Macaca fascicularis: one gene and its partners. The protein of the gene in region 2 interacts with the protein of the main gene of each other region in a pairwise test. Links are inferred from orthologs where the notes say so. Each region holds a gene or a part of one and is shown on either strand. Other genes may lie near its edges. The genes, in order: GMCL1, UBE2I, KLHL12, TRIM54, ARK2N, SIAH2 and TRIM38.

Region 1 (3,500 bases), on a different chromosome or scaffold from region 2:
TCACGGTGTTAGCCAGGATGGTCTCAATCTCCTGACCTTGTGATCCGCCCATCTCGGCCTCTCAAAGTGCTGGGATTACAGGCGTGAGCCACCGCACCCGGTCTCAAAAACACATTTTAAAACATGATTAAAATGTTAGAGAAGGCAATTCCTTTCCAAATACTTCTACTGAAAAAGTTTATACTATACTGTCTTACCAGTAATTATTCTCAAATGGTAAAGAGGAAAAATATAAGTTCCAAACGATAAAAACTGTTGTTTTATTCCTAGTGCCTAGACCAATATCTGGAATAAAATATTTGGGCCCTTAGAGCAACATTGTATTCTATTTTGAAAACTCTGATTTTTTTTTTTTTTTTTTTTTTTTTAAGACAGAGTCTCGCTCTGTTACCCAGGCTGGAGTGCAGTGGCACGATCTCAGCTCACTGCAACCTCCATCTCCCAGGCTGAAGCAATTCTCCTGTCTCAGCCTCCTGAGTAGCTGGGATTACAGGTGCCCATCACCACGCCGGCTATGAAAGTTCTGAATTTTTAAAGTGGGGTGCAAGTAGTAATATTTTCAGTACAGAAATCGACTTAGTCTATATACTTTTTGGTGTTGTCTTTACCTGGATTTTCCAGGGGAGAACTTTCCACTCACACTCAATGTGAACTACAAAGCAACATTTCAGGTGAGTTTATCCAATTTAAATAACCATAAGCAAAATAAACACATTACGATCTTAACTTTAATGTTAAATATTTTTCCCCAACTATTCCCCTTTTATCAACAGAAGACACTGAAAAAAGCACTTTATGAAGTAATGACAAATACGTAGTATTAGGCTCGTATGATACTGAAATCTCAAAATCTCTTTCTAGACCAAACTTAGTTTTCACTAACAATGCTTACCATTTTTCTTACAGACATTTTACCAAATGAGAGGATTTAACCACTATGGTGTTCATGCAAAAGATTACTGTGAAGTGCAATGAGAAAGAACATGATTTAAGAGTTTAAGTGATTACTCTGTTACTCAAATAGAAAAAATACTTACTTGACATAAATATATTTTGTGTAAGCTCCATTCTTCTCCTAGAGCACAAATCTTAATGTCACTGTTTTCACCATTCAAAAATAATGTTTGATAAATATATTTAGATGTACTCTTTAATTTTTTCCTGTTAAAAGAAATGAAAAAGTCACATATTTATATAAATTGAATGTTTTACTGATTTTGCATATATTTCTAAATACTCCTTTTATTCAATTTCTATTAAATAGAGTCAACTTACCTATTGTGTAAAAGGATAGGGGGAGAGTATATATTCAAATTTTCTTGTGTCTAGAAGAGTACATAAGAAATTAACAATAGTGGTTATCTCTGGGGTCCTCTATGCATGAGAGAGATAGTGGAGAAATGGGGGCGGCATGGGAGGCAGACTTTTCACTACACACATTTTAGCAATTTTGGACTAATTTAATTACCTATTCAATAGATTAAGAAGTTAGCATGTTGATTTTTTTGCTTATTTCCTTATTTAAAAACCAGCACTATGAAGGAACTCAAATAGTGCAATAATCTGCAACTAGGAAATGGAGAACAAGAGTAAACATTTCACTTACCCAAGTAATTTTAAAATGATTTACATTTAATCTTACTTTGGTACCAACCTATTCTTAAACTACTTAAAATGTTTTCTTCCCGCTGGACAAATGGTTTGCAACCTTAGATCAAAGATTTTATTTTCTTATTAGTTTTTTAAATTTATTTATTTATTTATTTCAGATGAAAGGTTTTTAAAAACTGCTCAAAGGAGAAGTCTTAGGGGCCACCAAGGAGAGCTGAGGAGTGAACTGTGAGTATCCCATCTAACTTGAACCAGAGCAGCATCACCTATTATATCTGTAAACATACGGGATTTCTGCACAGATTTAATTTAAAGGAAGAACTTGACTAAAAAAATAAAGTTTGAAAATTATTGCTCAAAATGGTCCAGTAACCAAGAAAAGGCTCTAGGCAGAGGCTGATCAATATCTCAAATTCCTGACCAATTCTGACAGCTTTCCTAGCACATAAAACTTTCAATCTCTCTCTTTTTTTTTTTTTTTTTTTTTTTTTTTTTTGAGACGGAGTCTTGCTCTGTCGCCCAGGCTGGAGTGCAGTGGCCAGATCTCAGCTCACCGCAAGCTCCGCCTCCCGGGTTCACGCCATTCTCCTGCCTCAGCCTCCCGAGTAGCTGGGACTACAGGCGCCTGCCACCTCGCCCGGCTAGTTTTTTTTTTTTTTGTATTTTTTAGTAGAGATGGGGTTTCACTGTGTTAGCCAGGATGGACTCGATCTCCTGATCTCGTGATCCGCCCGTCTCAGCCTCCCAAAGTACTGGGATTACAGGCTTGAGCCACCGCGCCCGGCCCTCAATCTCTTTTTTAAAATGAAGTAATTGTTTCAGATGACATCCTGAACCGGTGAGTTTAACACCTGTGTACTTAACACCTCTTCCTAGCCAACAATAAAAACAGCACATGCCTTAGTGGTAACAGACTTGGGTTTGAGTCCTAGCTGCCCCCCTGTTCAGTTATCACAGCTGTAAAAAGAGGACATTAATAGTACCCACTTCATTGATTATGATAAGAAATCAAGAGACAATGTAGTTTCCAGTTCCTGATAGCAGAATGTACACATGTTGGCTTCCCATCCCTCCCCAAATTACATTAAAGATTAAGAGTACAAAAAGGAATAAGTCCACACCAGGAAAAGGTAAAGGGTAGACTCATCACTTGATGAGAGATTTACACAGATCTGAAGGTTAGAAAATAAATTCAAATGAAAAAGAACAGTGAAAGCCATAGCCAAAAAATACATTATGGAGGGCTAGGATGGAGGCTAAGCTTATCTGCCCGTTAGAACCCTTGGGAGAAAAGTAGGATGAGGTCTCAGGGAAACAAAGGCAGAAGAAAGAAGAGGGGCAGAAAATGGGGAAATTAGTGCCTTCTCCACTCTATGAACACAGATTATAGATAAGGAGAGTACAGATACTGAGGCAAAAATATTCCAAGGCTTTTCTAGAAACAGCACAAAGCTAATGGAAGATCTAAGGCTGTAGTGTAGCTGCTGGTGCCCAGACAAAGCAATCCTCATTCTGAAATTTAAAGAATCTGTGGCCTGTTCACTCCCAATCCATTCACCCTGAGTCATGGTTCCCAAACTCTGTGTGAAATTCACCAGTTCAGGATACCATCTGAACTTAGAGCACCACAGCCAACTCAGAGAGGCATGTGGAATATTTTAAATTTGAAGGAAACACAGTAACACCTTTCAGATACCATGCAATCTGCTATCATTAGGTTGTTTGGCCCTAATTATGAGCTATTTCTTTTGGACTAGGAGTGAAAATTACTAAAACATGAAATGTGCTGTGATCCATGAAAGCTTGGGAAACTCTGCTCTACAAAGCATGCCCCACCTATAACCAAGTTAGTAGTCTTCTTACTCAAAGAAGAGGTACATTGGAAATAG
Region 2 (4,099 bases):
GTGTCTCCACCCTCCACTTCCACATGGAGCAGCTCAGTTGTGGCTTGAGGACTCACAGCTCTCGCTTCCCCAGCCCCAGGGTGGGCTTCATGAGTAGCCACAGCCTGTGCCTGGTGCGGTGCAAAGCAGCCTGGTGAACGGCCGTTTTGAGGAGCCACGACCTCCCAGGTGCCCGGGGTCTGAGCGGGGCCAGGAATCAAGCAGGTCTCTGAAGCCCCAGGCCAGTGCTCCAGACACTGAAGGACCATGGCCAACACGATCCTCACAGCCAGGCAAGGCCAGGCCCCAGAGAGGCCAGCCCCAGAGAGGCCAGCCAGGCCTGGGACCCTGCCACAGGTAGCCCTCCTACTGAAGACCGGACAGAGCCACCTAGAGGCCCCCGTCCCAGCACCTAGCTATTGCTGTCTCAGATGTGAGAAGTCGTGAGGGTGCTCCTGTGAGACCTCCCGCCAAGGTCTGGCTGATGCTGCTGTATCCCCTGCCCCAAAGCACTCAGCACCACGGGGTGGTCTCACAGGAAACTGCACCACAGGGCAAGGAGCCACAGGTGCACACCCACCCTGTCCTAGGCAGAAGCCAGGCCCCTCCCCCTGCTCCCCCTCCTACTGGCCTCCTGGAGAAAGTGGCCAATGTGTTACAATGTAATCACAACACAGACGAAGCATTCAAAATCCCGCTGAAAATCGAATTTGCCCTTCCAAATTAACAGATAAGCACTAAGTGAATGGCTAGCAGTTACTAGACCCTTCAGAGCAGGGAACTTATATGAGGCAAAGACAAAAACAACCCTCATCTATCAGAGCCAAGCAAGGCCCAGACACTGCAGCAACCAGGACAGGGCCAAGCACTCCAGGAGTGGCCTGAAGGTCTGCCTTCTGTCCTGCTGGGCACCCGCGACCGGCTGAGCTTTAGCTTCTCGGATCACCACCTTGCTCTGCTGGTTGACAGCACCGACTTCCGAGCAACTTCCTGGCTGAAGGTGAGCAAAGCACTCACCTCTCACAACTCCACCGCACTCATCTCCACAACGGGTGGTCGCCACGACGGCTGGCACAAGAAGCCTGTAAAGGTCCTCCTGCACCCAAACGCAAACTCTCCCAGGCTTGGGGAGGTATTCCCTTCTGCAAGACCCAGGCACCTGCAGTCAGGAGACGCTCACCTGGCCGCACCTGATCTGCCCCAGGCCCCCAGAATGTTTCTGAAGCAAGATCCCAAACCCTGACACATCACACAAGCGCACACCTTCAACCACCCAGTGGTCTAGGGAAGGGACCTCTGAAGGAGCAATCAGGACAAACTCAGGTCCCGTCCTGTCTTCCGCTGCGCAGCTTCTCTACCCAAACGCAATGTTTCTTGTTCTTCAAAAAACATTCGGCGTAGGTCCTATAAAAGGAAACAAACCGAACTCCCCAAAGACAGGCACTTTGCAAACAGAGAAACAAAGCGTAACTTCCAATTATAAAAACGAAACCACTTCATTCTGCGATTCAAGCGTGACTACAGGCCACGATCACAAGCCCAGCTAATCACTCCCTTACCTTCCTCCCACGCACGTTAACTACCAGAGCCAACCACTATTCAACCGGTAAAAACCCATCCCCAAAACAATAAAACTCCCTCCAGCGAGGCGCTCACGTTCAGGGCCCCAGCAAGCGCCAGGGCAGCATCTTCAGAGGCGCAGGAAAACTTAAGACTTGTTTTGGTTTCAAGGCACCGAAAACAAGCCCGCTCGCCGGCCCCCACCCCCGCGAGCCAGCGGTGTTGCAATCCAAGAGTCTCCCCCGCGACCCATCCCCTCCGTCCGCGGGGCGACAGTGACCCCGGAAGCCGCTCCCCGCGCAGAAGGAAGGCGCGGCCTCGCGGGGCCCCGGCTGCAGGTGGCTGCCCCGGCCCCGCGCCAGGAGCACCTCGGGGGCGAAGTGGGGGAGCCCCGGCCCCCAAGGCCTGCGGCGGCCGGGGCGCTCGGGCCGCAGCCCCGCGGCGCCAGCAGCGCGGACCGAACCGGCGCCGAGCGTGGGGCCTCTCGGGCTCCCCGGGAAGCTCGGCCGCGGCGCGGGGCCCGGCTCGGCGGGGCGGGGCGCGGGGCAGCCGGGGGCCCGGGCCCGACAGGAGTAGAGGCCTCGGCCCGACCCCCGCCCCGCGGCCCCGGCCCGGCCCCCGCCCGCGCTCACCTCGGGCGGCCGCGGCCCCGGCGAGCGTCGCGGACAGGTGGAAGACCGAGCGGGGCGGCGGCGGCGGCGCTTCCCTTTGTCTCGGGACTTCCCTCCGGAGCCCGCTCCGCGCGCAGCCCGAGCAGCTCCGAGGACCCTGGCGCGGGCGGGGCGCGCGGGGCGGGGCCTGGTGCAGGGCTGCCCTCTGCACGCCTGCCTCGCGCGCTGCCACCGCCGCCCGGCCCCGAGCACCGCCCGCGCCGCCGCGCGCCCCCCGCTGCCCGTGCCCCGCCGCCGCGCGCCCGCGCCCCGGGTCCGCCCCAGGAGCCCGGCCGGGGGGGTGACTTTTCAGTCAGGCGGCGCCCTGGACACCTACGCCCTTAAAGGAGCCGCGTCCCCGATGTGAGGGAGCGTCTGTAAACTCCCCTTCGGGGTGCCCGCGTCCACCCGAGGACACGCCGGCGAGCAGCGGGGGATAAAGGAGGCCGAGATCTCCAAAAGCTCCCCGGATGCCCGGCGGTCACCTCTCCAGGCACAGGTCTCCGAGGTTTCCTTGGGGTCAGAGCCTGGGGCCGGGGGGCAAAGACCACTGAGGCCTAAGGATTCCCAGAAGCGTCGCAGGACGGTGACGCTCCCGCGAGTTCAGCGCCCTGTGAAACCTCTTGCAATTGGCCATTTCTGGGCGGTGGGCGGAGAGACCTTCTCATCTGCCCAATGAGCCGACCCCGTACAAAAGGCCGAAAGCGAGCATGACCGACGGGAGGAGAAGTGTGGATGCTCCCTAATCCGGGGGCGGGCCCTGGGCGGGGGCGGGGCGTGGGGAGACTACGAGCGGCGGGGGCGGGGCGAGCCCTTGGGGGAGGGGCGCTTCCGGGCAACAGCCCCCCACCCCCCGCCCACGCAACTCCCGAGACCGGTCGAGAGGCCCCCAGCCCCGCGAGCGCGCGGGATACTCCGTTCGCCAACGCGCGGTCGTGCTGGCCCCGGGGCTCTCCCGGTCCCCCCGCCCCCCATTTCGCCGACGGCGGGGCCGCCGCCAAGGTCACGGTGTCCGGGTGCTTGGGGACCGCGGGGACTGACCACATTCATTCATTCCCTCCCTCATTCATTCATTCCCTCCCCCACTCACTCATTCCCTCTCTCCCTCATTCCCTGCCTGACTCATTCATTCAATCCCTCCATCACTCAATCATTCCTTCCCTCCCTCACTCATTCCCACCCTCATTCATTCCCGCCCTCATTCATTCCCGCCCTCATTCCCTTTCGCACTCATTCCCTCCCTTACTGCTTCATTCATTCCTTCTCTCCCTCACTCATTCCCTCCTTCATTAATTCCCACCCTCCCTCATTCCCTCCATCATTCATTCCTTCCCTCCCTCACTCATTTCCTCCCTCATTCATTTGTTCCTTCTCTCCCTTACTCATTCCCTCCCTCACTCATTCATTCCTCCCTCCCTCATTCCCTCCCTCACTCATTCATTCCCTCCCTCACTCATTCCCTCCCTCACTCATTTCCTCCCTCGTTCATTCGTTCCTTCTCTCCCTTACTCATTCCCTCCCTCACTCATTCATTCCCTCCCTCCCTCATTCCCTCCCTCACTCATTCATTCCCTCCCTCACTCATTCATTCCCTCCCTCACTCATTCCCTCCCTCCCTCACTCATTCCCTCCCTCCTTCACTCATTCCCTCCCTCCTTCACTCATTCCCTCCCTCCCTCCCTCATTCCCTCCCTCCCTCATTCCCTCCCTCACTCATTCATTCCCTTCCTCACTCATTCCCTCCCTCACTCATTTCCTCCCTCCTTCACTCATTCCCTCCCTCACTCACTCATTCCCTCCCTCCTTCACTCATTCCCTCCCTCACTCATTTCCTCCCTCACTCATTCCTTCCCTCATTCATTCATTCCTTCCCTCCCTCACTCATTCCCTCCCTCCCTCATTCATTCCCT
Region 3 (4,006 bases), on a different chromosome or scaffold from region 2:
TAATTAACCTCTTTGCCTTTTCAGTCACTAAGATAAGTGCACCAAAATCAATTAGAATTTACTGAATCAATTAGAATTTCCTTAGAATCAATTCAGCGGTGATGACAGGGACCATTATGATGCAGAGTATATACTGAGGTCTGTGGGTCGCAGGGCTCAGAGGATTCTCGCCGCAGCGTTGTTCGGCACGAAAAGGCCATTGTGGACAATGGACGTGAAAAAATTTGAGGCCTCTGTGGGTTTTCTCGATGTCAAAAAGTTTCTCAGTACCTGGAAGGTAAAACATACTTGCTGCAATCAGATGCTTGGCATATTAAGCGTTGGAATTCTCTCTGTGTGCCCTGCCTCGTGAGCAGTAGGGAGGAACTCAGGCTCAGACAGTCGCTGAGCTGTAGATACATTCCCAGGCTCCCTGCCGGACCCCACAACATCCGGCCTTTTTTGTTTTTTCTTTCTTTTTTTTTTTTTTTTTTTTGGAGACGGCGTTTCAGTCGGTCGCCCAGGCTTGAGTGCAGTGGCGCGATCTCGGCTCACTGCAACCTCCGCCTCCTGGGTTCTAGCGATTCTCCTGCCTTAGCCTCCTGAGTAGCTGGGATTACAGACGCGTGCGACAACGCCCGGCTAATGTTTTTTGTATTTTTAGTACAGATGGGGTTTCACCATGTTGGCCAGGCTGGTCTCAAATTCCTGACCTCAAGTAATACACCCGCCTTGGCCTCCCAAAGTGCAGGGATTATAGGCGTGAGCCACCACGCCCGGACTTTTTTTTTTTTTTTTTTTTCAACAGGGTCTCTGCAGTGGCGACTCTGGCTCACTGCAACCTCTGCGCCTAGCTCAAGTGATCCTCCTGCCTCAGCCTCCCTAGTAGCTGGGACTACAGTCGGGGCCACCACGCCGCGCTAATTTTTTTTTTTTTTTTTTTTTTAGAAACGGGGTTTTGCCGTGTTCCCCAGGCGGGTGTGGAACTCCGGAGCTCAGGTAATTCGCTCGCCTCGGCCTGCCAAAGTGCCGGGATTACAGGCGTGAGCCACCATGCCCTGCCCACCAGACCTTTTTCTAATTCGGCTTCCTAGCAACGTGCAGAGGCCCGGCACCAGGGTGCAGGCAGGTCACGTGACACCACCTCTTCACGTGACGCAGACTCGAGCGGGAGGAGGGCGGTGCTCCAGCTGCATTGCGTCATCACGTCGCGCGGCCGCAGGGACCAGACCTGGACGGCTCCAGAGCCTCCAGAGCCTCCGGGTGGGGGCGGCGGCGGCGGCTCTTCGGCTCTTCCTGAGCCGCCTGCTGGCCCCGCGCCCCACTCCATCCCCACAGGCTGGGGACGGGCCCGGCGCTGCTGTGTGGGCTCGGGAGCGGAGGTGAGTTGCGCGGAAGTGATGGCAGTCAGCCCTTCCCTTCCTGTCCGTCAACTCCGGGTTATGGCCCTACCCCCCATCCTTGGTCTCCCTGTAAGGCGGAATGGGAGACATGCCGGAGAGAGGAGGAAGGCTGGCGGGGGGGCGGGGCATCTGGCCTCAGTCGCCCTCTCAACTCTCCCCTGAATTGCCCCCCTGCGGTACCTCCATCTGGCGGCGCCGGTCATATGCCTGGTGGTATCAGAAGGAAGGAGTTCGTTTCCTTCTCTAGAATGTAGTCTTTCCGGAATTTACTACCCCATTCCTGCCCCGAATCTCCCGAAGTGGAATCCCTCTATTCAGATGTTAACGGAAGTTCTAGAAAATAGGTCACTTCAGAAGGGTGAGGGTGAAGGATATGCTGAGACTTGGAGTGTTGAGGCAGGAATCCCCTAGAAGGAAGGCCACTCTGCACTAGGGGTACTGTCATTTTGGCACGGAAACGATAAAACACCCCCCAGGCTGTCTTCACTGTAAATGGACATTTGTTCCAGACTCTTTTTGCACCCCTAGAGTTGAAACTAAGTTGACTTAAGTCTTTTTGAAAAACATATGCTTTGATGAATCACCCCCTTTTCTGCAAAATGGGTCATGCAGTTGTTGGAGGGATTATCTATAGCGCTTATAGAGTAAAATGCCAACTATAAACAGAAGTAGATGAGAATTTAGGATCTCATTTTTCCTGTTGAAAAATTACTTGTGAGTTGCGAACTTCTGGAGACCACAGTTTTATTTCCTGCCGTCCCCCTACCCCCGCCCCGCCGGATCGTTTCAGAAAGTTTTGGATTCCAATATTGATTCGTTAACCAGTAATGGACATTTACAGATATAGAGTAGGAATACCCTCTTGTTGAGGAGCTTCAATATCTTAAGCAAGTGTAAGTCCATCGATAACTTGCGTGGTTTCCACTATTCAGTTAGGGTAATAGGTCAATTGAAGTTTCTTTCTTTTTTTTTTTGAGACAGAGTCTCGCCCTATTGCCAGGCTGGAGTGCGGTGGTGTGATCTCATCTCAATTCAACCTCCACCTCCTGGGTTCAAGCGATTCTCGTGCCTCAGCCTCCTTGGTAGCTAGGATTACAGGCGCGCGTCACCACACCTGGCTATTTTTTGTATTTTTAGTGGAGGCTAGGTTTCACCATGTTGGCCAGGCTGGTGTCAAACTCCTGACCTCAACTGATCCACCCATTTCAGCCTCCTAAAGTGCTGGGATTACAGGCGTGAGCTACTGGGCCTGGCCTGAAGTTTCATTTTAAGAAGAAATCCAGATATAGCTGAAAGTCATCAGACATAATTATTTGGCTACTTCTTTAGAAAAAAGTTTATTTTTACTGACTGGCCTTTCTCTAAGTTGAAGTTGAATACACACTTTTTCTTACATTAAATTGTAAACATTCATTGTGCAACTTCTAGGATAGAAAGCATACATATAAAGCAGGATCCTCAGCCTCTAAATACTTATCTACTTAAGGATATTAAATAGTAATGATATAACACCTTTAAGAAATTGTATATTTTCAATTTGTCATTTGAGACAAGAACCTTGTGAAGATTTACAGGACATATATTGTTTATCTCTACTTACGTTTCAACATTGATCATAATAAATGTCAAGTGGTAGGGACACTCCGTGATAGAGGAATTCAGAGAAAGAAGAGAGAACTTTTACATGTACTAGATAGTGGCTAGATAGTGGTGGTGATGCCAGGCATAGGAGTGCCCTCAACTTGTGTATGTTTGGGTCTGAGGGAAGCCTCTTAGGTTCTTAATTTGTAAAACTAATTAAATATGTTCAGTTTCCCTAGTTCTTTGAATATGCTCATTGTTTTTTTTCTCTTGTAGCTTCAGAATCCAAGGACCCATTTTGTTTTTTCTCCGCACTGCTTTATGGGAGGCATTATGGCCCCCAAAGACATAATGACAAATACTCATGCTAAATCCATCCTCAATTCAATGAACTCCCTCAGGAAGAGCAATACCCTCTGTGATGTGACATTGAGAGTAGAGCAGAAGGATTTCCCTGCCCATCGGATTGTGCTGGCTGCCTGTAGTGATTACTTCTGTGCCATGTTCACTAGTGAGGTAAGTGATAAGTTAGCCCCACACAAATGAAACTCCCGTGGTACTCTAGTTGTCTTATTTCACTGAATAAAATAGTAGAACTTTGATATAATTGTGAATTTTTACAGTGTGATGTTTTGGCAGATTCTGGATAAGATCTACCACTTAGATGACTATGCTTTAGTTTCCTCATCTTTAAGTTAGGAATAATAGTAATATGTAATAACTGGTTATTAAGGTTATTGTGAAGATTATTTTATGAAATAACGTACAAAATGCTTAGAGTAGTTTAATATGCAGTAAAACACAAATGTCAGCTATTGGATTTTACTATTTCTTAAATTTGTTTTCCAATTTTTCTCCTTTTTTTGTTTTTAATTTTATTTATTTATGTATTTATTTGTAGAGACAGGGTCTCACTGTGTTGCCCAGGCTGGTCTTGAACTCCTGGGCTCAAGCAATCCTCCCACCTTGGCCTCCCAGAGTGGCCACATCTGGCATTACAGGTGTGAGCCACTGCACCCGGCCTTTTCTCCTTCTAAAGTCTA
Region 4 (4,012 bases), on a different chromosome or scaffold from region 2:
AAAATAGGGGCATGAAATATGTGATCCGGAGAAGATTGCACTTTCTGGACTCTTTTCCCACTCTTGCCTCTTTGTGCTGCTGTTTCGTATCCTCCTCACACCGTGTATTTCCTACCCACTCAGGGTCACTAGCTACTAACTCCTCAGACTTCTCTTCCTGGACTGGGAGAAGGGCTAAAGAATGGCGGTAAATAAAAGAGCTTTTGTCCAATCCCAAGGCATATTTTGGACCCAGAAAAGACAAATTGTGTCTGGGGTGGAGGAAAAAGGCCTAAAGAAATTGCTTCTTGGCTTTTTGGCTAATATCAAGTGGAGAAAAAGACCTGTAGGAGAAAAAGAAGACCAGTGCTCACAACTGGGGCGAGCCTGGCTTGGAGAGGAGGAGTCCTGGACAACTGTGGAGCTGGGGCAGAGGCTTCCTGGAGCCTTATGATTATGACTTTGTCAGTGCTCTAAAATTTCCCTGGAGGTTGATTCCCTGGGTGCCCAAAATAGGTCCCTGGCATTCATGTCCTTTCTGCCCAGCTCACCTTCTCCCAATTTCCTAACAAATTTGAAGTCCTTAGAGTGGCTCCAGGGATGTGTTCACGAACCAGAATCCCACATTTCCTCGGGCGCATGCTCATAGGTAGGTCCAGGCCTTGGCACAGTACTCATTTCTAGCCTCTTGAGCTTCATTTCCTAGGGTGATATAAGAAAAGGCAGGCAAGAACAAAAATGAGCCAGAGGTATTGGACAAGAGGCTTGATGGAGTCTCTGGAGCTGCTGTTCTGAATCACACAGTCTTGAGGAGGAGGACCAGGGTCACTGGCTGAGCCTGTGGAGGAGGCAACTGCTACTGACTCTAAGTCTGGCAAGATCTTTCCTCCCACCCTGAGCTATGTATGGGTGCTTCTCACACAGGCAGATTTAGATTCTGTGTCACTGTCCTGGAAGAAGGGCCCAAGCCAGAGCAGGGGTCCTGGGCTCAGAGGAGCCTTCAGAGTGAGAGGGCAGCACCTTTGCTGACCCACCTTTCACCGTAAGCAGTGGTGCTTGCCCCTGCCCTTGCTCAGGGGAGTCACCCATTCCTGAGTGAGTCAGGGTCACTCACTCCGTGACAGCTGTGGCTCGCCTTACATGAGCTAAATTGGGAATTGGAATGTCATGCAGATGCCCCTTGTCTCCCCACCCCCACAGTAAAATTAATCTCCTCTCTGGGGAGTAAGGGACAAACAGTGCTACCCACAGAGTGAACAAGAGAGAGTCATTTGGGAAACAAAAGGAGGACTTTACAGAGAGAGAGGGATAGCTAAAACTACGTGAGCCTGCCGAGGGTGCAGAGCAGAAAGTAGAGACAGAAGTGTCTGAAGACTGCTATCTGGGACGAGACAAGTTGTTAAAGGGACAGGAGAGAGAGCAGAGCTATTTCAAGAGTGAGCCACAGAAGGGAATCCACAGGCCGTCTGAGTGAGGAAGGGTCTACAGACAGTGAGTGAAGGCCAGGAGCAGGACCCAAGCCAGGGTAGGCACAACCACCGAGGGGATGAACTTCACCGTGGGTTTCAAGCCGCTGCTAGGGGATGCACACAGCATGGACAACCTGGAGAAGCAGCTCATCTGCCCCATCTGCCTGGAGATGTTCTCCAAACCAGTGGTGATCCTGCCCTGCCAACACAACCTGTGCCGCAAGTGTGCCAACGACGTCTTCCAGGTGGGCGCCAGGGATGGGGCAGGGCCAGGTAAAGCAATGCAGACCTGTGGGGGACTGATCAGGTCAGAGCTAAGACCCCAGAAAGTGATGGATAGAGTGCTCTCTGAGGTAGGTGGTGGCTGTTGTGGCTGGAGAGCAGAAGGGCTGGGGTCCAAGCAAATCCCAGAGCAAGCATGAGTCAGCAGCTGCCCTGCAGGCTGGCAGGTACAGCCTGTCCATAGACGGCAGCTGGAGTGCTGGGATCTGCTGAGGAAAGGAGACCCTGTGGAAACTGGGAGGGAGGGGATCCTACACCGGCCTTTTAAGAGCCTGTGCCAGACTCTGCATTCCAGTTTGGAGTTTCACACTTTGAGAGCATTGCGGAAAATACGGAGAAAAGATTAATGAGATAATGAAACATTAAAAAACAAACAGAAAAAACCCAACCCTGTGAGAAAGCTCCATAATGGCAGTAAAACGATTCGTGTTTAAGGAAAGTTCAGGGCATCCGTTGTGGGGGACAGAGTTAGACGCAGTGGGCAGGAGACTGGGAACTCTCCCCAACTTGAGTTCATACCTGTTACCTCCAGATTGTTGAGTAAAGAGGCCTACTGGTTCAAAGCTATTGAGGTCACTTGACAAGAAGAGAGAAGGCAAAGAAATTTACTTTTAGAAGTCTAGCCAGTTTTGGTTTATTTGTGGTCATGGAGCCAAGCATAGCTAATCAAATTCACAGATACCATTTTAGCCACTGGTTTAGAAATAAAAGCTGCATATACCAGAATGGATTATAAGTGGGCTTTTTTTTCTTTTCCTGTGCTACCGGGGAGGTTCTAGTAGGCTATGAAATGGAACAGAGATCAGGGTGAGGGGCAAAGGCACACACACACACACACACACACACACACACACGCGGCCTTGCCGATTAAGCAAAAGCTCTGAATGTGGCCGGGCGTGGTGGCTCACGCCTGTAATCCCAGCACTTTGGGAGGCGAGGCCGGCGGATCACGAGGTCAGGAGTTCGAGACCGGCCTGGCCAATATGGTGAAACCCCATCTCTACCAAAAATACAAAAATTAGCTAGGCGTGGTGGCAGGCGCCTGTAGTCCCAGCTCCTCAGGAGGCTGAGGCAGGAGAATCACTTGAACCCAGGAGGCGGAGGTTGCCATGAGTCGAGATCATGCCATTGTACTCTGACCTGGGTGACAGAGCAAGACTCTGTCTCAAAAACACAAAAACAAACCCTGAATAGACCAGAGCTGGCTTAGTATGTGTGTCAGTGATACGGAACATCCCAAACAAGTATTCTTCAGTGTCAGAAATGATGAGGAAATGTGTTAAACACAAGGGATTTTTAACCTAACCAAGAAAATACTTCCCTCTTAAGTTCCTCGGGGCAGCTTGTTTGGGAAAGGAATGGACTGGCTAGGTCCCGCCATCCCACGATGTACCCTGTGACCCGCCCCTTGTATGTCTGCTGTGTGTCATCTTCACTGCAGACCAGCACTCTGTGGTCTCTCCTGCCATCTTCCCATTGAGGCCCATTCCCTCTCCTATTCTTTTATGTGTCCAAACCTGCCATTATTCAGCTCCAGAGTATCTCAGAGGCAGTAGATTTTCCGTCTCGGGGGACCCAGACCAAATGCTATGCCTCCTCATCCTGGGCATGAAGTCCTGCATGAGAGGCAATGCTTTGCCCACCATCTTGGTGTTTCCTTGGTCTGAGGAATTCCGAACATCCTTCAGGCTGAGATGCCTAGGAGGAAATGGCGGAAAGATTTTGCCATCATTTCTCATGAACTGACAGTGAAACATCCTCTCACTGGAACTTGAAATGTGTGAAAACAAAGAGAAGTTTTGAAAGTTAAGGTGACGTGTCCTATAGAAAAGTGGTCAGAATGTCCAAGAGCATTCCTGGGTGCCTCTGTCGTCTGGCAGAGGGGCCCAGGAGCAGTCCCCATACATGGAGGCTAGAATGTGTTCAAGTGACATGCTTGTTTAAGTCAACCCTTTCTACCCAAGCACACTGTTTCAGTTCCAGAAAGCTCTGGAATACTGATCTGGGCTCAGAGAGACCTTGGAATGGCTTGGGGCAAACCCTGTACAGAATATTTGGAGATAACGTGATACCCAGGGCTTTGGGGTGGCCCTGTGGGTCTGGAGTGATGTGTGTCGTTTGAGGTGCAGAGCAGCCCTGGCCCCTCCAAGGAGGAAGAGTGAAGAGCTCATCCCTTGCTGCTTATTTGGGAGGGCCTGGTGGGAGGCTGACCCAGTTCTTCAGCTGCACTCAAGTCTGTATATCTCAATATATCTCAGTAGATCTCCCTCGGAAAGATGAGC
Region 5 (4,196 bases), on a different chromosome or scaffold from region 2:
GCACTTTGGGAGGCTGAGGCGGGTGGAGAACCTGAGGTCAGGAGTTCGAGACTAGCCTGGCCAACATGGTGAAACCCTGTCTCTACTAAAAAATATTAAAAATTAGCCGGGCGTGGTGGCATGCGCCTGTAATCCCAGCTACTCGGGAGGCTGAGGCAGGAGAATCGCTTGAACTGGGGGGGCAGAGGTTGCAGTGAGCCAAGATGGCGCCACTACACTCCAGTCTGGGTGACAGAGCAAGACTCTGTCTCAAGAAAAAAACAAAACAAAACAGAACAAAAAACAAAGAAACAACAATAACAACAAAAAACAGGAGAAGGACCCAAGATGGTATCTCAGTAGTCAGGGCAGTATTCCCACAGCATTGGTTAGATCAGACTGTCATGGAATCTTTTAAAAACTCAGTGTGTTAGTCCACATTCACTCATTCATTTTCGGACAGTTGTGATCTTAGTAGTGATTTTTTCTTTGCTTTTCTTTTTTTCCTGCAAGAGGCTGGGCTCTTGTCACTACCCCACAACCTCTCAAATCCCTTGAGGACTCAGGTAGCAGAAAGTAAATACATGAATGAACGAGTGAAATAACATATACAGATAAACTACTTAGCTAGCACACACTACGTTCTCAGTGATTCTCAATGAGGCAGTGGTGGCTGTGGTTAAGAAGTAAGCTCTGCCTGTGTTGTAATCCAACACTGCCACTTACTTGGATGTGTCATCTTGGGCAGGTCACTCTGTGCCTCAGTTTCCACCTTTGCAACTTGGGGCTAGTAATGCCATCCAACTCATAGGGTTGTTATGAGTTGTAAAGAGGATTCATTGAATTTAACCCATTTAAATGCAAAGTGCCTGGTATGTAATAGGCATTCAATAAAAGTTATTTTCTTTTCATAATTATTCTTGTAGTTAGGGATGAAAAACTCGCACTCCTGTAGGCAGTCAGAAAAAATGAGTGAAGTGGGGGAACTAATGGGCCTGGTCTGAAGGGGGATACTGATGTTTAGGGGAGTACGGACTCAGTAGTGTAAGATTTTCAGAATCTCCTCTTGACGGGTCTCATCCGAGGTTCCAGCACAGCTCTGTAAAGGTGAAAGCTTTATTATTATTATTTTTCTTCTCAAAACACTGCAGTGCTTTGGGTGAGCGCGGGTCCTTGGCCAGATCTTGAGTCGTGAGATGCGTCTTCAGCATCTCCTGCTTCTCCTTGGGAAGCCCTCTACCCGCCAGTTGGCCCGCGCCCTCCTCCCCGTTCTCGGGGTTCGATCCACCTCCTTTCCCCTACCCTCCTAAGGGCTGACTGCAAATCGGAGGGCGACTGCAGAGGCGGAATTCGGGGCAGAGCGGCGTCTCCCCTGCGGGCCCCGTCCCACCAGCAGGTGGCGGTCGATCTGCAAGGCCTGCAAGGTGCCCCGGCAGAAACTTGAGCAGATGTTGGTGCCGCTGCCCAAGAAGACCTCAGCCTAGTCTCCCCGAGCCCGGCTGAGTCTCCGCGAGCCCAGCTGTCCGCATCCGCGAAAAAGCGGGGAGAGAAGGGCGCGGGCCCTCCGGAGGCTGGAGCGACTCAAAGATTCAGACACCGCGAGCTGCTTTCGGAAGGGCTTCAGGAGGGGGTGAGTACTGAGCAGCGCACAGAAAAGGGAGCGCTGTCCTTTGTTGAAGGCATTGTCCTTGTCTTGCATTGAGTGGCTTTCACACACCCCGGGAAAGACATTTCTGGAAGGAGACAGTCTCAACAGAAGGAGGGAGCGCGGGAAAGAAGCCCGGGGAGCTGGCGCCTTTACGCCCCGCGGTCTGCAGCGGGAGGAGCGCGGGTTCCATCGCGCCAGATGGCGCTGTCTGGCTTTTCTCGGGCCTCGGGCGCCAGTCTCCAGAGGTCCCCGGCGCAGCAGCCTCTCTAGCCGGCCGACGCAGGCTCTGTGTTTCCGGGCGGAAGTGAGGCGCCGAGCGGAACGGCCTCTGGTGACATTTTCTTGGGGGCGGCGCGGACGACTGAAGGGACTTGGTGGTAGAGGCTGCGGAGGCGGCGAGGTTCACTTTGATCCCGGCAGGGGCTCTGACCGCGACCCTCTGCTCGCCGCCGGCGCTTGTTCCGAGGAGGAGAAGGCGGCGGTGGCCGTCGCGTCCTGAGTCACCGCAGCGGGGAGAGTCCCAGCCGGGGGGTCGGTGCGTGCCCCGACGGGGCGCGCGCGGAGCGAGCGAGGAGGCACGGAGTCGCAGCGGAGCGCAGGTGAGGCGGGAAGGGGCGCAGGGCCGCGGCCTGGCTACTGGTCGAGTTGCGGAGCCCGGGCTGCGTCCCAGGGATGCGTCGGGGCGAGTCGGAGGGCTGCGGGCCGCGGTGAGGGCTCTGCGGCGTCCGGACGCTGGGATCCTGGCGGGCCCGGCTGGTGGGCGCCGGGAACTCGCAGCCTGGACTGGCGTCTGACGCGGGGGCATCGCACCGCTCCAACCTCCTTGCTCGTCAGCCGCTGGTGACCCTAGCGTCCTCCCGGCCCGGCGGAGTTGGCTACGGCACCCCAAGCCCCCAGACGCTGGGGCCGGGTCGAGGCAAGTCCTTTTCCGTGGGGTACTAAGGAGAGGCTGGAGGTGCCGCAGTCCCCGGGCTGCGGGGGGAAGCGGCTTCACGGCGTTGGAGTTGTCTTCACGCAACTTTCTGGCTCCTAGGCCCGCCTGGGAAGCAGTGGCGGCAACTCCGCCAGCTCCGCGAGCCGGGGGTCTGGCGCCGATACCTGCCCCTGCAGTGGAGAGCTCCAGGGCTGCGGCCGCAGTGGCCTTGGAGGAGGGAGAAAAGGCTTTCTTAGGCTTGGCGCCGCCTGCCTCTCGGCGTTTCCACTACCTTCGGTCGGCAGGCGCCTCCGGTCAATGGGAGAGATGTGTCAGTCTCCAAAATTGACCGCTTCTGGGGAGTTCGTCAACTTTATTTCAAAACCGGTGAGGATGTACACTGACGAACCCGGCTTAAAGACTATCGCCTTTACGCAAGCCATTCATTCTCACTTTTAAATTGTCCGCCTACCCCCCACCCCACTCCGTCCCCGGCAGCCCCCATCACAAAATTGATGTTCGCAGGTTGAAGTAGAGAACATCGGTAGGAGCCCTCCCAGATAGATCCTTGAGCAGTTTCGGCTTGGATGGGTTTTTCGTTTTTTGCCTGACCTTTTGCTTTTTGAATCCTCCCACCCAGTAAAATTAAAATCCCACTGATAATACTTCGTCAAGGTTGGACTTCTTAATTACAAATACATCTGCCAATTTTGCTTAGGCTATTATTGTGTAGTATTGGGTACATGCTAACAGTTTGAATCACTCCCTTTCTTCTCTTGGGATATTTTAAGGATGGAAGCTATTAACTTTCTAATGTAGTTTTGCTGATCCTGGCAATCTAGATTCCTCCAGTAATCAGAGCATTGCCTTTTGGTTTAACAAGCATTTTTAGAGGCCTGCAATTGATAGTTACTACCTGATGTCCTGAGGAGTCACATCGCTATTTTATTTATTTATTTATTTATTTGAGACGGAGTCTGCTCTGTAGCCCAGGCTGGAGTTCAGTGGTGTGATCTCTGCTCACTGCAACCTCCGCCTCCCGGGTCCTGGTTCAAGCAATTATCCTGCCTCAGCCTCCCGAGTAGCTGGGATTACGGACACGAGCCACGCCCAGCTAATTTTTGTATTTTTAGTAGAGACGGGGTTTCACCACGTTGGCCAGGCTGCTCTTGAACTCCTGACCTCGTGATCCGCTCTCCTCAGCTTCCCAAAGTGCTGGAATTACAGGCGTGAGCCACCGCGCCCGGCCTGAATCAGATTTCTTAATGGGAAAAATTTTTTTTCTGACACATTTTTGGGAAAATTTTTTTTTCTGACACCTTTTTGTGAAAAATGGGATGGACTGGACATTGGAGCTGGAAACTTTCCCCATTGTTAGAATAAGTTCACAGTGTAGTTGTTACTTACTCACTTTATATTACTTTAACATGCATCTATTTGAGAGTAGCTGTCATAATCTTTGTTTTATGGTTATCATGATTAATTCAAAACCCATATAGTAAAGATAAATTCAGCTTTAGGTTCTAATTTAATGCAGTTCCTTTAGGACTGAGGGCTAATGCATGTCCTTCAAAGGTTTCTTGCTCCTAATGTTAATAGTGACATTGGTACTTTCAGTCTTTTTATTGTATGACTAGTAAATTCTGTGCGCTTGTG
Region 6 (4,279 bases), on a different chromosome or scaffold from region 2:
TTGGCCCTTTTAAATTTCAGCTTGCAAAGTAATGGCTTTGCCCAACTGCATTCTTATGGAATAGAGACTCAGAAAATCACTGACATGTACAGAAAGGCTGAGAACCCCCGATTCCCAGAACTACTCTTCAAGGTTGATTTCACTAGCCTGTTTCACGTTAGGAAAGAACATATGCTTTCATAGGAACCAGAGTTCTAGATCCTGAAAGTGAAACTTCATGCTCCATATAGCATAACTGTTTCCTTCCCTTTCTCTTGGGAACAACACAATTCTAAGGTTACATTTTAAAAACAAATTATGGATTACTGACTAATATCAAATGCTCATTTGTGAACTAAAACTCACCTAAAAGCCATTTCTTTTGTTAGCCACTGCGGGTTTAAGGGAAAGTAAAGGGGTGAGAAAATGGCTCCCCAGAAATCCTGTGGGGCATCCCCCACCCCTGCAATATATCTCAAACATCAAATAGCCACTCTATGTTAACTACCACCAAACCTTTGTCTCCTTTTTCACAACCCTAAGACAACTATGCAAATACTTCATCTAAATTTTGAGAAACTGGGCTGAGTGAATTAGTAAGCATTATATGAGGAGGGGTTAAAAGCAATTTATTAAGGTTGCCTGAAACACCCTAGTCCAAACACTGATTCAAACTCTTATTTAAATATGCTATTTTAAACCTCATTTGCAGCAGGGCAGCAGACCAAATTAAAGCACTCATTTTACTGACCTGAGTCCCACGCCTGAATTCTCTGGTGGATTATTTTTAATTTAAAAATGAGCTCTTGTCCTATAAAATAAGCAGCACCAAGGAGAAATACAAGACAGCCTAAAGGGCCCAAGAGGCAGAGCAAGTTACTTTTACAAAAAAACTGGAAAGTATTAATGACAATATTTCTACTTCTAATTTCAGAAAATGAACTTTACAGTATAGTTCTAGGTCATAATGAAGTAATGTAGACAAGTATGTCTGTGAAACTGCTCCTGAAGGTAAACAAATGTTACAATATGACCACACAATGCAATACTATACAGTCATTTAAAATACAGTGAAGTCGACTAGGTTTCAGGCATAGAGAAATATGTATGATAATATGAATTTAAAAACAGCAAGTTGCAGATGCCATTTTTGGAGAAAAACTTACATCTATGTGTGGGTATTAAAAAACCTCCCTGACATACACTGACATCTATGATTCTATATTTAGCTGCGAGGGTGTATGTATATATAGTTTAAAAAGATACACACTAAACCTAACAATGGTGGGAAAGGAGGGGAGAGGTCTTGGTCTTTCATTTTACTTATTGTCTTGGCTTGCATTTTTCGCAAGGGCATTGAAAACTTTTTACATTAAATAAAAAATGAACTGATGAGCTTTAAACAACTGTAACAACAGCTCTTGAGTGCCCTTGTTAATTTCTTGATTGACTGTTTTCACCCCACATAGTACAAAAACGCAGCCACAACTCCTCAGTCCTTCCCAGTCCTTGGAAGGCTAGGAGAGAAAAAGGCGTGGCTTGCAGGGTTTTCTTCTAGCTAGAAGAAAACAGGCTGTAGGCGCCCTTTTTTTAGCTACACTCCCGAGAGCTCCCACGTGTCAGGGGTGCGCAGACTGTAGGCGCGGGGTGCAGGACTCCAGTATCAATTCAGCCAAGCCGAGCGCTGGACAAGGGTGCGTTTAGCTCGCCCGTTTCTTCCCTCCTCAGTCCCCACATAGTCAGTTTCTCGGTCCAAGTTTTACTGGTGCGGCCCAGCCCTATCGAGCGTACCCGAATACATGTCTGCAGAGGACGCGGGCATTGGGCCGGGTGAGCTACGATGTTCTGACGACCAGCGAATGCCAATTAATCTGTTAACTGTCAATTAACCATTACTCGGTAAATGTCAACCCAGAACTACTCCCAAAGTGGGTTTGAGGGAGGGTAGACGAAATGTAAACATTTTTTCTTTTTTTTTTTTTTTTAAATGAGAGATGCCGCCCGCCTTTCCGGGCCTGCCAGTGGGCTGGAGGATACCGGAGTCCCTGAGGTCACCGGCGGAGATACGCGGGCTGTCCCTGGCCTTACCTTACAGGGAAACAGGACTGCCGAGGCCACCTTCTCCATAGCCAGGTTCCTGATGCTGGGCGTCAGGGCGCCCCTGCACGTCGGGCAGCAGCTCAACTTCTGGCGGCATTGGTTACACACCAGGTGCCCGGCCTGGCACTGCAGGATAGGAGGCAGGACATAGTCAAAGCAGACCGGACACTCGAAGAGCGAGGTCAGCTCGTGGTGCTGCGGGGACACCGGGCCGGCCCCGCCGCCGCCGCCGGGGCCCGAGATCACCGCCGCCGCGGCGGGCACCGCGGACGAGCCGGGGCCCGCAGCCGAGATGGTGGCAGCGGCCGGGGGCGCAGCCGGGGACGGAGTGTGCTGGGGCTGCGGCGGCGGCTGCTTGCTGCAGGGTTTATTAGCGCTGGGGCCGGTGGAGGACGGGCGGCTCATCGCGCTCCGAACCAACCATGGAACTGCGGGCGCCTGCCTGCCGCGGGGCCGCCCGGGTCAAGGCGGTGCGCGCCCCGCGGGCAGCGAGCTCCGAGGCAACGCCACGGCGCCCAGCCCAGGTCTGGGCGGCAGAGACTCTCGGCCTCCGGCAGGCGGAGGGCTGGACCGCGCTGATGCACTCCCCAGCCCCCGGCGTTCCGAGCACGCCTCCGCGTCGGACCCCGCGCGATGCCCTCCTCCCAGCGGCGTCCGGGCCCCGAACCCAGCGGTGCGCAAGGAGCCCCGGCCCACCCGCTTCTGGAGCGGCCGCTGACGCAAGCCCCGGGGGCGCGCGCGGACGTGACGCCTGGACACGTGTGCGGCCGCCCAGGCGCGCGGGGACTGGCAGAGCCACCCTGCGCCGGGGCGCTGGCTCCGCCCGGCTCCAGCTGGCAGCGCAGGGGGCCGCCTAGCGCCGGCGCTTCCTGCTCGGGCTGCGGGCCGGGCCTGCGCCAGTGAGCATGCCTGGCTCGCCGCAGCCCCGCGGGGTTGTCTTTTCCGGGTTGGCGAGGGAGGCCACTCTCGGGGAAGGCGTCGCCGAAGTCCTCTGGCCACACCCCGGGGTGCCTGGCCGACGCGTCCCTCAGCTCAAACGAGAAGGGCAACTTCAGGCTGGGCGGGGGCGTGGACGGTGGGTGGGACAGTACGCTGGCGGGCAGGGGCGGGGCGCCGGCGCCCCTGCACTGGTCGGAAAAAACCGAGAGGTTTGTCTTCTCAGGGTTGAGTCACCAGCGTGCAGGCGAGGAGGGCGACGCGGCCAACCGAGTTCTGTGTTCCGAGTCAGGACGGGAAGCATTGGGTGGGAGCAGGGCGAGGGGCCGAGTTGGGTCTGCAGGGGGCACAGGACCTAGTTTTGTACAGTTAACGGTGGGGTTGAGTAAAGAAGGGGGGCGGTGGGGAGGAGGTAAGCCCCCTTTATTCCTTTCCCAGCGGACCAGGAGGAAGCTTCGTTGAATTAAGCGCCCCTGGCTTGTATAGCCGAGGAGGGAGCTCATGGACAGCGTTGGCTAAGAGTTCGAGATCATCTAGGAATGCCAGAAACGTGGGTTGGGTCGTGAGGTCTCTGAAGACAGTAGGTGAGCCTCCAGTGTAGGGCGCTGAGTCCGCTTGGTAAAGAGCCGGCCGAAGTCCGAGTCTTTGTTGCGAGCTGTAGGCCACCCTGCGCGCCCAGCAGAAGCGCTAGAGAGGGCACCGTAGCCCGGAGTGAACCGCATGTCCAAATGTAACTGTGTGCTCCGAGTTAAATTGTTTTTCTGCAAACTTTGCTTAAGCCAACGATTCCAGAATTGGGGAAAGGGTTACCCTAGGTGGAAATCGGTATTTGTAGGAGCCACAGAGGTAAGGACCAACTATTAAGACTGAGTGAAAAATGGTTCCCTCCAACTGTAAAAGTGGAATAAAAACAATACCTATCTTATAGGTGGGGCAGTGAGGAGTAAATGAGTTTAATATGTTTCAAACTTTTGAAACAACCTCGCTCATCATAAGCACTATTTAAACATTAGCTGTTATCTTTTTAAAATATTAGTGGATGTTTAATATGAATGAATACAATTTGTCCAAGAAATACGGCGTTAGAGCCCAGAAGAAATAAAGTTTAATCTTACAAAGGGCTTCTATAGAATGACTGCATGCATGGAATTGATGGAATTTGGTATAAATCTTGAAAAAACGTAATAGTTGTAGATATTCAATCGTTCGGTAAATGTTTCCTGAGCATTTATCACGTATCAGCTACTATTGGAGCTCTGAGAAT
Region 7 (3,500 bases), on a different chromosome or scaffold from region 2:
TCTTCATTAGGGACCTAGGGGGAATCCCAGTTTTCTAAGATATATTTGAATAATAGTGAATATTTATTGAGTCCTCCTTGTTTTTTGCTAGAGAGCATGCTAAAGGCTATATGTGCAGGAACATACTGATCCCCTTGGCAACCCTGAATAGTTGGTAGGATTTTAAACATCATTGCTGTGCTGTAGAAAATGAGGCTAAGAAAGGGGTAAAATAACTTGCCCAAAGGGCTATGGCTGCCAGCTGGTGGAGCATTGCACCCTCATCTGCTGACCCAGAGCCTGAGCTACACCCTCCACTAGAGTCCTGCCAGGAAAAAGTTATATATAGAACAAGGTAATCATCATCTAAAAGATTTTGTAAAATAACATGCTGAACCAAGCAAAACCAATACCAGTGTTTGGCACACATGAAATTTTGTGTCTTATGAGTCATGAAAAATCAGGATGCCAAGTGATTTGAAGCTGACCCAAATTGCTAATTGTAATCAATGCTAAAAGAATTGTCTCCTGTCCTCTCTAAACCCAACAAGTATACTCATTAATTCTCGAGCATTCTCAGGAAAGGGCTCTATGTAACTGTTTTAGCAAAAGATGACATTGTCCTTGCTATATGCCAAGTGCTATTCTATGCATTCTATATTTTAATGTCCTCAAAGCTTATAACCACCTCCTGTGTGTGTGTTTTAGGGAGGGAGGACACTGCTATTATCCCCATTTACAGATGGGGAAACCAAGGTGTCAAGACATTAAATAACATGCCCAAAATTGCCCATCTAGTAAGTGACCAAACTCAATTTCAACATAAGCAGCCTCCTTTTCTTACTACTTGGTGGAAAAGTAATTCAAATTGGAATATCATCATTGCAGTTATTAGCTGTTCCATGGAGTTTAAGGAAGAGCTGCCATGAGCTGAGTAGGGGTCAGGATTGACATGTCCTTAGAAGGACTTAGAGCCTTCATACAAGACCACCTCTGTCTCGTGGAGGACAGAATAAGGAGCCTGACACAGGGGGCAACATTTTCCTCAAATCTAGGCAGGACAGAAAAGGAAAAAGGACATCAGGACTATGCCCATTCCTCCATGCTGCCAACAGCAAAGTCCCTCCTTCCTTAATATGCTTTCTGGCAAGAAGCCTGGATGGTACACAAAACCTCTCCCTCTGCTTCACCTTCCACAACCAAGCATTTCCAAATCTTTTACTCTTCTTCCTGAATCTTGCTTAAAATCTGCCCTCTCCTCCCTTTCTTATATGGATAGTTTGAATTTTACTCCTTGATATTCCTTTTATTATAGACATGCCAGAGTAGCTGGGCACTGTGGTTCATGCCTCTAATCCCAGCATTTTGGGAGGCTGAGATGGGAGGGAGATCAGGGGTTTGAGGCCAGTATAAGCAAGAAATCCAGACCATGTCTGTACAAAAAATAAAAAAATTATCCGGGTATAGTGGTGCATTCCTGTAGTCCTAGCTACTTGGGAGGCTGAGGTGGGAGGATTGCTTGAGCCCCAGGAGGTTGAGGCTGCAGTGAGCCGAGACTACACCATTGCACTCCAACCTGGGACACAGAGCAAGACCCTATCTCAAAAAAAAAAAAAAAGTATAGGTACCAGAGTGATATTTTCAATGTCACTGACCCTTCATTCCCCAAATGAAAATCCCCCAATAGGTGTTCAATTTTTATGTGTCCTTCAAGAGTTACTTCTGAGATGAACCACTCCCTACCCTAAATGTCCCTCCCCACCACCAAAACCAGGGACCTCCAGGCAGACATTTTTGATGGTTTATCTTCTTTACTAGACTGTAGATACCTAAAAGGTAATGGGTCTTTCTTCCCTGTTTGCAGGCCCTACTGCATGGTTTTACATATTGTGGTTTTTCAAATGATATTCATAGTGTGAAGCAAGAAAAAATGTGGGTGTTTGGTTTGAGAACAACCTGTTCTAAAGCAAGGAGAAATTCATCATAACACAGATGGATAGAGATGAGTCCAACCATCCCATTGAAGGTCAGAACGGACAGTCTAGATAATTTAGCAAGAAATCATCATAAACTATTTTTCAGAAGAATGACATAATGAAAGCTGTATTTCCAAACCATAATATTAGGTTTCAGGCTAAATCATCTCAGCTCCTGGGAGCAGGATAAGATTTGGTACTTACCAAGGCCCCCTGACCCACACACTCACCTTGTAGCCCTGGCATACATCTTCAACAAGAGCTGTGGTGTGCCCTTTGTGCTGTGGTGCCCGCTCACAGCGCCAGCAGATGAGCTGCCCCTCGTCTTCACAGAACAGGTGGAGCTGCTCTCCGTGTTCCTCACATGACATCTCTTGATCCATCTCTTTGAGGGCTTCAATGAGGCTTCCCAGCTGCTTGTTCGGTCGGAGGCTATGCATGTGAAATGGAGCCCGACACTGGGGACAGCAGAACGTCTCCTGCCTCAGTCGCTTTTGGCTTGGGTTTTTAAAGAAGTCCGTTATACACAAGTGGCAGTAGCTGTGTCCACAGTTGATGCTTACTGGGTTCGTCATCAGGCTCAGGCAGATGGAGCAGGTGGCTTCCTCCATCATCTTCTTGGTGCTGGTGGTTGAGGCCATAGCTTTTATTGAAAAGCTCCAATGTTGGCTCTAGAGATGGAGATGAAGCAGCCAGAATTTTTACCATGATGAAAATACACCTCACCTGCACCTCTATGTGATGAGCTGGCTGCTACTGACCTCCATAGGTCTTGAAGGTTTTCCTTCCAACCCCTATTATCTCATTTTGTATTGAAGAAAAGAGGACTTAAAAGGAAGAAGCTGAGGCTGAGTTTGTTTGGGCCACGATTGAGAACTGCAACCCAGATGCAGAGTTTCAAGTTGTCCTCGTTAGCAAGCAGTTGCAAGTGGTTATTTAAGGGGAAAAAAAAGCAGTTTTAAAGCCGTTTTTAAAATTGTTTACCAAGAATTTACATTAAAATAGCATAAGCTTTTGATTGGCTATACATTGTTCTTTTTATTACAAATCTCAGGAACATGTAGGTAATAGATGAGGCAGCCAGTCAGGAACAAAATGCTTTTAAACATGGGGTCTTAACTGAAGACCCATACTCCTGTCTCACTGGTCCTGATAAATTTTGCATACCTCACATAGCTCAGACTGCTCTAAACTATTTTTCTTTTCTCAGTCTTCTATTTTTTTTTTTTTTTTTCTAATGAGCCAGAGTCTCACTCTGTCGCTCAGACTGGAGTGCAGTGGTGTGATCTCGACTCACTGTAACCTCCGCCTCCCCGGTTGAAGTGATTCTCCTGCCTCAGCCTCCCGAACAGCTGGGTCTACAGTGGTGCGCCACTACGCCCAGCTAATTTTTGTATTTTTTAGTAGAGACGGGGTTTCACCATGTTGCTTGGCCAGGATGGTCTCGATCTCTTGACCTTGTGATCCACCTGCCTCAGTCTCCCAAAGTGCCGAGATTACAGGAATGAGCCACTGCACCCGGGCTCTTTTTCTTTTCTTATGAGA

Evidence for each region.
Region 1: the proteins of UBE2I (region 2) and GMCL1 interact in binary tests that used the Homo sapiens proteins (3 or more experiments, as listed by UniProt). The two-hybrid records come from large-scale screens. The link is inferred for Macaca fascicularis from reciprocal best matches to the Homo sapiens genes UBE2I and GMCL1.
Region 3: the proteins of UBE2I (region 2) and KLHL12 interact in a two-hybrid assay, tested with the Homo sapiens proteins (2 studies listed by BioGRID). The two-hybrid records come from large-scale screens. The link is inferred for Macaca fascicularis from reciprocal best matches to the Homo sapiens genes UBE2I and KLHL12.
Region 4: the proteins of UBE2I (region 2) and TRIM54 interact in a two-hybrid assay, tested with the Homo sapiens proteins (3 studies listed by BioGRID and IntAct). The link is inferred for Macaca fascicularis from reciprocal best matches to the Homo sapiens genes UBE2I and TRIM54.
Region 5: the proteins of UBE2I (region 2) and ARK2N interact in a two-hybrid assay, tested with the Homo sapiens proteins (2 studies listed by BioGRID and IntAct). The two-hybrid records come from large-scale screens. The link is inferred for Macaca fascicularis from reciprocal best matches to the Homo sapiens genes UBE2I and ARK2N.
Region 6: the proteins of UBE2I (region 2) and SIAH2 interact in a two-hybrid assay, tested with the Homo sapiens proteins (3 studies listed by BioGRID and IntAct). The link is inferred for Macaca fascicularis from reciprocal best matches to the Homo sapiens genes UBE2I and SIAH2.
Region 7: the proteins of UBE2I (region 2) and TRIM38 interact in a two-hybrid assay, tested with the Homo sapiens proteins (2 studies listed by BioGRID). The two-hybrid records come from large-scale screens. The link is inferred for Macaca fascicularis from reciprocal best matches to the Homo sapiens genes UBE2I and TRIM38.

The regions. Positions count from the first base shown.
Region 1 is NC_088387.1:52,106,680-52,110,179, forward strand, and holds part of GMCL1 (germ cell-less protein-like 1), read right to left. Parts: intron 1,162-3,500; coding exon 1,038-1,161; intron 653-1,037; coding exon of another isoform or gene 609-652; intron 1-608. UniProt on the Homo sapiens protein: Possible function in spermatogenesis. Enhances the degradation of MDM2 and increases the amount of p53 probably by modulating the nucleocytoplasmic transport.
Region 2 is NC_088394.1:2,054,568-2,058,666, reverse strand, and holds the start of UBE2I (SUMO-conjugating enzyme UBC9), read right to left. Parts: upstream 2,801-4,099; 5' UTR 2,527-2,800; intron 2,310-2,526; exon of another isoform or gene 2,172-2,309; intron 1-2,171. UniProt on the Homo sapiens protein: Accepts the ubiquitin-like proteins SUMO1, SUMO2, SUMO3, SUMO4 and SUMO1P1/SUMO5 from the UBLE1A-UBLE1B E1 complex and catalyzes their covalent attachment to other proteins with the help of an E3 ligase such as RANBP2, CBX4 and ZNF451.
Region 3 is NC_088375.1:60,679,069-60,683,074, reverse strand, and holds the start of KLHL12 (kelch-like protein 12), read left to right. Parts: upstream 1-1,206; 5' UTR 1,207-1,361; intron 1,362-3,239; 5' UTR 3,240-3,284; coding exon 3,285-3,479; intron 3,480-4,006. UniProt on the Homo sapiens protein: Substrate-specific adapter of a BCR (BTB-CUL3-RBX1) E3 ubiquitin ligase complex that acts as a negative regulator of Wnt signaling pathway and ER-Golgi transport.
Region 4 is NC_088387.1:94,935,227-94,939,238, reverse strand, and holds the start of TRIM54 (tripartite motif-containing protein 54), read left to right. Parts: upstream 1-1,212; 5' UTR 1,213-1,525; coding exon 1,526-1,693; intron 1,694-4,012. UniProt on the Homo sapiens protein: May bind and stabilize microtubules during myotubes formation.
Region 5 is NC_088392.1:43,648,450-43,652,645, reverse strand, and holds the start of ARK2N (protein ARK2N), read left to right. Parts: upstream 1-1,396; 5' UTR 1,397-1,609; intron 1,610-1,960; exon of another isoform or gene 1,961-2,226; intron 2,227-4,196. UniProt on the Homo sapiens protein: AMPK substrate important for exercise capacity and skeletal muscle function.
Region 6 is NC_088376.1:53,611,089-53,615,367, forward strand, and holds the start of SIAH2 (E3 ubiquitin-protein ligase SIAH2), read right to left. Parts: upstream 2,801-4,279; 5' UTR 2,485-2,800; coding exon 2,068-2,484; intron 1-2,067. UniProt on the Homo sapiens protein: E3 ubiquitin-protein ligase that mediates ubiquitination and subsequent proteasomal degradation of target proteins.
Region 7 is NC_088378.1:146,961,088-146,964,587, forward strand, and holds part of TRIM38 (E3 ubiquitin-protein ligase TRIM38), read right to left. Parts: intron 2,627-3,500; 5' UTR 2,597-2,626; coding exon 2,186-2,596; intron 1-2,185. UniProt on the Homo sapiens protein: E3 ubiquitin-protein and E3 SUMO-protein ligase that acts as a regulator of innate immunity. Acts as a negative regulator of type I interferon IFN-beta production by catalyzing 'Lys-48'-linked polyubiquitination of AZI2/NAP1, leading to its degradation.